2 linked regions of the Macaca mulatta genome follow. The protein of the gene in region 2 interacts with the protein of the main gene of each other region in a biochemical or structural test. Links are inferred from orthologs where the notes say so. Each region holds a gene or a part of one and is shown on either strand. Other genes may lie near its edges.

Evidence for each region.
Region 1: the proteins of SH3GL2 (region 2) and DNM2 interact in a biophysical measurement, tested with the Homo sapiens proteins (2 studies listed by BioGRID and IntAct, with this or other methods). The link is inferred for Macaca mulatta from reciprocal best matches to the Homo sapiens genes SH3GL2 and DNM2.

Annotation. Positions count from the first base shown.
Region 1 is NC_133424.1:11,521,343-11,525,163, reverse strand, and holds part of DNM2 (dynamin-2), read right to left. Parts: intron 3,252-3,821; coding exon 3,091-3,251; intron 1-3,090. UniProt on the Homo sapiens protein: Catalyzes the hydrolysis of GTP and utilizes this energy to mediate vesicle scission at plasma membrane during endocytosis and filament remodeling at many actin structures during organization of the actin cytoskeleton.
Region 2 is NC_133420.1:81,360,204-81,363,881, forward strand, and holds part of SH3GL2 (endophilin-A1), read right to left. Parts: intron 3,078-3,678; coding exon 2,974-3,077; intron 969-2,973; coding exon 838-968; intron 1-837. UniProt on the Homo sapiens protein: Implicated in synaptic vesicle endocytosis. May recruit other proteins to membranes with high curvature. Required for BDNF-dependent dendrite outgrowth.

The sequences.
Region 1 (3,821 bases), on a different chromosome or scaffold from region 2:
CATCACTTAAGATCAAGAGTTTGAGACCAGCCTGGCCAACACAATGAAACCCTGTTTCTACCAAAAAATACAAAAATTATCTGGGTGTGGTGGTGGGCACCTGTAGTCTCAGCTACTCGGGAGGCTGAGAAAGAACTCAGGAGGTGGAGGTTGCAGTGGGCCGAGATCACACCATGGTACTCTATCTAGCCTGGGTGACAGAGCAAGACTGTCAAAAAAAAAATTTCTTTTTAATTTAAAAATTTAAAAGAAAAGAAAAAGAAAAACAAAGCTATAAAATCAGCCTATACTTGAAAAGTGTAAAGCAGAGTTCTGCCATCTGTCCCACAATAGAGAAGAATTTAGAAAGTGTTCATCAAGGCTGGGTGCAGTGGCTCACACCTGTAATCCCAGCACTTGGGGAGGCTGAGACAGATCACTCGAGGATAGGAGTTTGAGATCAACCCAGGCAATATGGTGAGACCTTCTCTCTACCAAAAATAAAAACCTTTTAAAACTTAGCTGAGTGTGGCAGTACACGCCTATAGTCCCAGCTACTCAGGAGGCTAAGGCAAAAGGATCGCTTGAGTACAGGAGGCTGAGGATGCAATGAGCTGTGTTTGTGTCACTGCAATCCAGCCTGGACAACAGAGTAAAATGCATCAGAAAGCCTGGATAACAGAGAAAAATCATCAAAAAGGCCGGGCATGGGCCGGGGGTGGTGGCTCACGCCTGTTATCCCAGCACTTTGGGAGGCCAAGGCAGGCAGATCACGAGGTCAGGAGATCGAGACCATCCTGGCTAACGTGGTGAAACCCTGTCTCCACTAAAAATACAAAAAAAAAAAAAAAAAAAAAAAAATTAGCCGGGCATGGTGGCAGGTGACTATAGTCCCAGCTATTCAGGAGGCTGAGGCAGGAGAATGGCGTGAACCCGGGAGGCGGAGCTTGCAGTGAGCTGAGATTGCGCCACTGCACTCCAGCCTGGGAGAGAGGGAGACTCCATCTTGGGGCGGGGGGTGAGAAATAAAAAAGGCCAGGCTGGGTACAGTGGCTCATGCCTGTAATTCCAGCACTTTGGGAGTCTGAGGCGGGCGGATCACCTGAGATCAAGAGATGGAGACCAGCCTGGCAAATGTGATGAAACCCTGTCTCTGCTAAAAATACAAAAGTTAGTTAAGTGTGGTGGCGCACACCTGTAATCCCAGCTACTTGGGAGGCTGAGGCACGAGAATCACTTGAACCTGGGAGGTGGAGGTTGGAGTGAGCTGAGATCACACCACTGCACTCCAGCCCGGGCAACACAGTGAGGCTCTATCTCAAAAAAAAAAAAAAAATTCATCAAAAAAATAAAAATAAAATAAAAAGTGTCCAGTGAGCTAGAAAAGAGGCATGAAGGAACCTCACATCTATGGCATGGAGCCAGTGGGGTACCCCAAAGATCTCCTTGACCAGGGATCCCTGCCCTGCAGCCCCGGCCATGGACCCCCGTCTGTGTGGGCTGCCTAGAAAGGCAGGGAGCTACGCTGGCCTTCCCTTGGTCTCTGACAGGATACTACTGCACTGAAGCCGTGAGCAAATGGAGAGGAAGGGGCACTGCTGCTCTGGGAAGCACCCCACGCGAAAGGAGGCTGAGCCCCCTCCAGGCTCCCTGGTGGCCACCTGGGCTTTTCGCTGCTGGCTCTCAGGAGGACCCAGCCAGCTGTGGAGTTTTACTTCCCTTCCTCTCCCTACTCCCGTTTGCAGGCAGACCCCAGCTTCCTCTCCTGGTGGGCCCCTCCCTCTAGACACTGACTTCCCTCTTTGCTCTCCTGAGCTGCCTTCTTTGGGTGGCTCTTTTCCCGGTCCCCGCCCCTACTGGATTCTTGATCGTGCATTTCTCTGGTGGTTTGTTTGGTGTCAGTCTCCCTCATTAGAATTATGCCTTCCACAAGGACAGGAACCTGCTCTCGTGTGGACACTGCGTGCCCCGATATGTGCGTGAAAAGATGACTCCTGGAGTGCTGCTGAGGCCCTGCTGCCATCCTGGAAGGTGCTGGAAAACAGCACAGAGGAACATCTTGCCCCTGCTACCACGCACTGGCCCACTGTATAGCTTTTAATACCATTTCTGTTTATGCACCCTGTGAATATATTACTTATAAGAAGAGAACGATAGGCCAGGCACGGTGGCTCATGCTTGTAATCTCAACACTTCGGGAAGCTGACGCAGGTGGATCACTTGAGCTCAGGAGTTTGAGACCAGCCTGGCCAACATGGTGAAACTCCATCTCTACTAAAAATACAAAAATTAGCCGGGTGTGGTGGCACATGCCTGTAATCCCAGCTACTCAGGAGGCTGAGGCAGGAGAATCGCTTGAACCTGGGAGGTGGAGGTTGGAGTGAGCCAAGATCATGCCACTGCACTCTAGCTTAGGTGATGGAGTGAGACTCCGTCTCCCCCCCAAAAAAAAAAAATAATAATAATAATAAATAAAAACGTTATAAACCCCGTCACCAATACCACGCAATGCATACAATCTTCTGGGTAAATGACTGAATAATTACAATGGTAATTAAAATATTGGTAATAACAGCGATGGTTGTAATAGTAGCAGCACCAAGTCACTGAACATCTGCTTTTCACCAGACCCTAAATCAAGTACATTGCTTTTATTTAGTTATTTAATTTTTTGAAACAGGGTCTCACTCTATTGCCCAGGCTGGAATGCAGTGGCATGAACATAGCTCACTGAAGTCTTGATTTTCCAGGCTCAAGTGATCCTCCTGCCTCAGCCTCCTGAGTACCTGGGACTACAGGCATATGCCACCATGCTTAGCTATTTTTTTCTATTTTTCCTAGAGATAGGATCTCCATATGTTGCCCAGACTGGTCTCGAACTCCTAGGCTCAAGTGATCCTCCTGCCTTGGCCTCCCAAAGTGCTGGGATTACAGGCATGAGCCACTGCACCTGGCCAAGTACATTTATTACAGCACAAATAAATGTGGACTGAACCTATTTTGCTAAAACAACTGCTGCTCTAGCCTGAAACAAGTGCCAGTGAGGACTGCAGCTATTGTGCAGTGCACAGCCTACGCCACTGCACACTACTCTGCAAACCCTTGCAGTACCTGATTCAGCGTCTTCTGCAGATGTGGTGTGCCCATGCGGTCAGCCATGTGCCGGTAGGCCGGGTGGGAGAGGAAGAACTTCCTCTCAGCTGCCAGCGCTGCACGGATGTCCTTCTTGCCCTCAATATCCTTCTGGCTGCGGTTCACCACGCCAATGTAGCCTGTGGGGAGAGGCAGTCAGGGCAGGGGCAAAGCTAGGTGAGCCAAGTGTACCTGGCATGGAGATGGGCAAGATTCAAGTATAGAGATGTATCCTGTCCCACAAGGCACTCACAGACTATGTCATAACATGTTACTCGGAAACAACACAGAGGATGCGAATGCACATGGCAGCTGCGAAGAGGAACGTTAAGTATTTGGAGGAAGGAGGGATCACATCCAGCCTGTGTGTGCAGGGACAGAAAAAAGCTTTGGGGCGGATGAAATCTACAAGCTGAGATTCAAAGACAGGTAAGAAAAAAAATCTCGGCCGGGCACGGTGGCTCAAGTCTGTAATCCCATCATTTTGGGAGGCCGAGGCGGGTGGATCATGAGGTAAGGAGTCCGAGGCCACCTGGCCAGCATGGTGAAACCCCATCTCTACTAAAAATACAAAAAATTAGCCATGCATGGTGGCGCCTGACTATAGTCCCAGGGACTCGGGAGGCTGACGTAGGAGAATTGCTTGAACCCAGCAGGTGGAGGTTGCGGTGAGCCAAGATCATGCAACTGCACTCTAGCCTGGGCGACAG
Region 2 (3,678 bases):
CCGTAGAACATCAAGCACTGGGGATACAGGAAAAATAAAAGAAAGCTGTCTATCTCTAACATCCACATCCAGTATAAGACAGTTCCCACTTCAAACAAGCAAATGTGGAGGTTGAAAATGTCTCCAGCACAGGCTGTTGTGTAATCTGCACGTAGGGAGTGGAGAGCAAGCGTGACAAGGAAAAGAATGCTCTATTAGGTATGCATCGATATTCCTGAGATAAAATATCATCTAGCTTTTATTATATCAACCCCAGTGCCACAGCATGATAAAGTGATCAGAGGTGAGGCACGGGAAAGAAAACCCAGCAAGTGTCGAGTTTCAAAATATCTTCTGCAAATATATTTAACCATATGCTTCTGTGACTCAAGAAATCCAGCTCATCAGCACATTTCTGGAGCCGCTTGCCGTCTGTGGGCTCTATGTGAATGCATATGGGGACACACTGTCCAGGGGCATTCATTGTCATACAGGCTGGATTCAGAGGGAACAGGAAGGAGAAAAGATGACACACGCAGACCAAACTGACAAGGAAAGGCAATTTACGACCACAAAGGAGGGTCAAAATAAAATGTGTTCATGTGTGCTGCTGATTGAGAGAGAAAGGGATATACAAATAAAGTTTTATACAGAATTAAAAGGAAGGAAAGAAAAGGTAAATGAAAAAAGACAAAAGGATTCCTTTAACAGAGTTTCTACCTGACAAACCACTCCATAAGAAATCTATTACTGCATATTTCCTATGCAGCCAGATTGGATTATTCCTAAAGTTTCTGGAAGAGTGCCAATGGATATGCCAAGGCCTATGCAATAGGATCTGCCGTCTCAGCTCCTTACCTGAAGGCTTGGGAGTGCCTGTGTGGGAGAGGCCCCCATTGGGCTGAGTACTGTCTCCAGTTGGAAACTCCAGGCTCATTCGTGGTTTAGGTTGATATTCCCTTCTAGGCTGAGCTGAGGCCTGTCTTATTCTGCAGGAAAAAGAAAAGAGGTGGGAAAGGTTATGTGGCCAGTTAAGTAAAAACAAAAGGAAATATAAAGATTCAGGAAATGTTTGGGTCACCCACCATGCTACCATGATGAAGTGTGGGAAATCAAACAAGGACCCTTAGTTTTCTTGTGTGTGCATGTCTGAGATTTTGGTGATGCCCCTTTATGGGGCCATGTCCTCACTGTCTTCACTCTCTCTCTCAATCCCTGACTTCCTCTCTCATTTATTCAGAGTCCTTTATCCAAATATGCACTGTGCTAGGTACCAGGAACACAGAAATGAATTAAAACACAGTTCTTGTACACAAAAGCTAAATGCTTGAGGGGATGCATACCACATTCCCCATGATATTCTTATGCACTGCATGCCTGTATGAAAACACCTCATGTATCCCATAAATATATACACCTATGTACCCACAATTTTTTCAATTTTAAAAAAGACGCAAACAGATTATGGTCTGTAAGGGAGACAGAACACAAACAACTGATGACCATAAGTTTTAGTAAGCACTGTCACAGATATCTACAAAGTGCCACAGGAACACAGGGGTGTAGTTGGGGGTGAGGGTGGGAAGGAGTCTACCTCTCCATAAGGAAGGTGGAGGAGGTTTAAGGAAAGAACTAAAAGATACACAGGAGTTGTTTCCAGATGAAAATGTGAAAGGGAGCTATTCCATTCAGAACATGAGAAGATTTGGATAGAGGGAAGGAGGAAATACACTGTGTGCTGTGAGAAGAATGAGCAGTTTGAGATATAGGGAAGAGGAAAGGAAAGAGGGAAGACAGAAGGAAATTGGAAAGGTATGGCCAATAATTGTCTTCTACACACCCCTAAATAATTCCCATGGTTTCAGGTATTCAATAAACAAAGTATGTAAGAGATTTGCAAGGGAGGGTGAGGGTTTAGGGTATGGTAACCGTAGAATGATACTGACTTTGAACATGTTTCAGAGGAAAGAAAGGAAAGTGCTCCCTTCATGCTCAAGAGACATTACAAAGACACATAATATTTCTTTAGTATTTTGAAGTATATGGTTTTAAAACCTTTCTGGAGGCTTCAGCGTTACATAAGTTTCCACAAGGGTGCGCTGAAGGAAAATGCTCAGTTAGACCACGAATCTAAGAAGATGCTGAGATGAGATCAGCTTGAGGGAAAACAATGAAAATAGGTGATGTTTTCAATGGCGTGGAATCGTATGATTGGGGTCTTCATCATGCAGGCAGCCACGTGATCAGCTATGAGAGTCTAATCTGGCCATGTGGCCTAAGAAAAAAGCCTGCTGAGGTGACCCTTTGAGGTATACGTGTTCAGCAAAATCACCCTGTTTGATCTGGCTGAATTAAAATAACACATATTATATTATAACACAGGACCACTGGTATACAGCCACACAGGCTGTGCCCCACAACTCCACGGAGCCACATTCACATGGTAGTTTCCTACTACCACAGCCCTGCTGTGAGGTACATCGAACAAGGTGAAAGCGGCTCTCTCTGATGGCAGTGGACTTGACCACCATTCAGAGAAACACAAGATGTGAAAAGAAACAGCCTTTCAAACAGGTTATGGTTGGCTGTGAACTCCACTCGTACCACTGAGTGACCCTGGGCTAGTTACTTCACCTCTCTTAGCCTCAGTTTACTCATCTGTTAGTCGAGGCTAAAAATACTTAGGTTATAGGGCTGTTATAAGATTGATAATGATATGTATCCAGCATCCATTATCAGCAGTAGCATCCTGGTGTCCCACCTGTGGCAACCAAAATACAACCCAAGTATCGACCTCTCATAAACAGAAAATTAGATTCAACAAACAAAGCACAAGAAAAAACAAAATCAAAACAATCCACAAGGTGCCTGTTTAGGATAAGCAGGAATTCTGGCAGATGTTTGTCTCCAAATGTATTTTATGATTTCCATTTCTGTATATATCATTTTATAGCAATGAAATGCAAATATGAAATGCAGGGAACTGTAGAATACCTTTCTTCCAGTCTGACCGTGACTTGCTGCAGGATCTGGACTGCCTGCTTGTGGTATTCCAGCTGAGCTTGCACAAGTGCAGAAAGCTGGCTCACTTGTTCAATCTGCAGATCAATGGGAAAATCATGCCTTAGTTTCCATGTTACCATCCTTAAACAGCCACTACTGTTTCATACATACAACAGGTTGCACTCAACACACAGACCCTGTTTGGTGGTGCTGATGACTGTGTGATAAGCCAATTAAGATAGATAGGTCAGCAGGTTTCAAATCCATCAAGGATAAAAGAAAGCAACCTTATGCTTAGAATCATGCATATCAGTACCATGAGGAGAAGCAACACTGGTAACCCTCAGGAAGACCATAAAGCTCTAAAGAGTCTCATGCCTAGCTACAATCTTGTATTTGGGATTTGACTTCTTTTATCGATATAGAAAAGAAGGTACGCTGGCCAAAGGACTCTTTGTTCCCTATACTTTTCATGCTGTTAATATTGGTACTGTTAATAAAAATGTGACAATATCTCACATAATGTACCCGGAGAGGCGACATGGTATGACAGAAAAATATTCTGTGCTCTCTGAGCCTCCTCTATAATGTAAAAGGGCTGAATCAAGTGACATCTTGCATGCATTCCTGCTCTAATATTCTAAGCTTGATTTCTCTTGATTTTACGTTTCACATTACGATCCAGCTAGGCAGCAG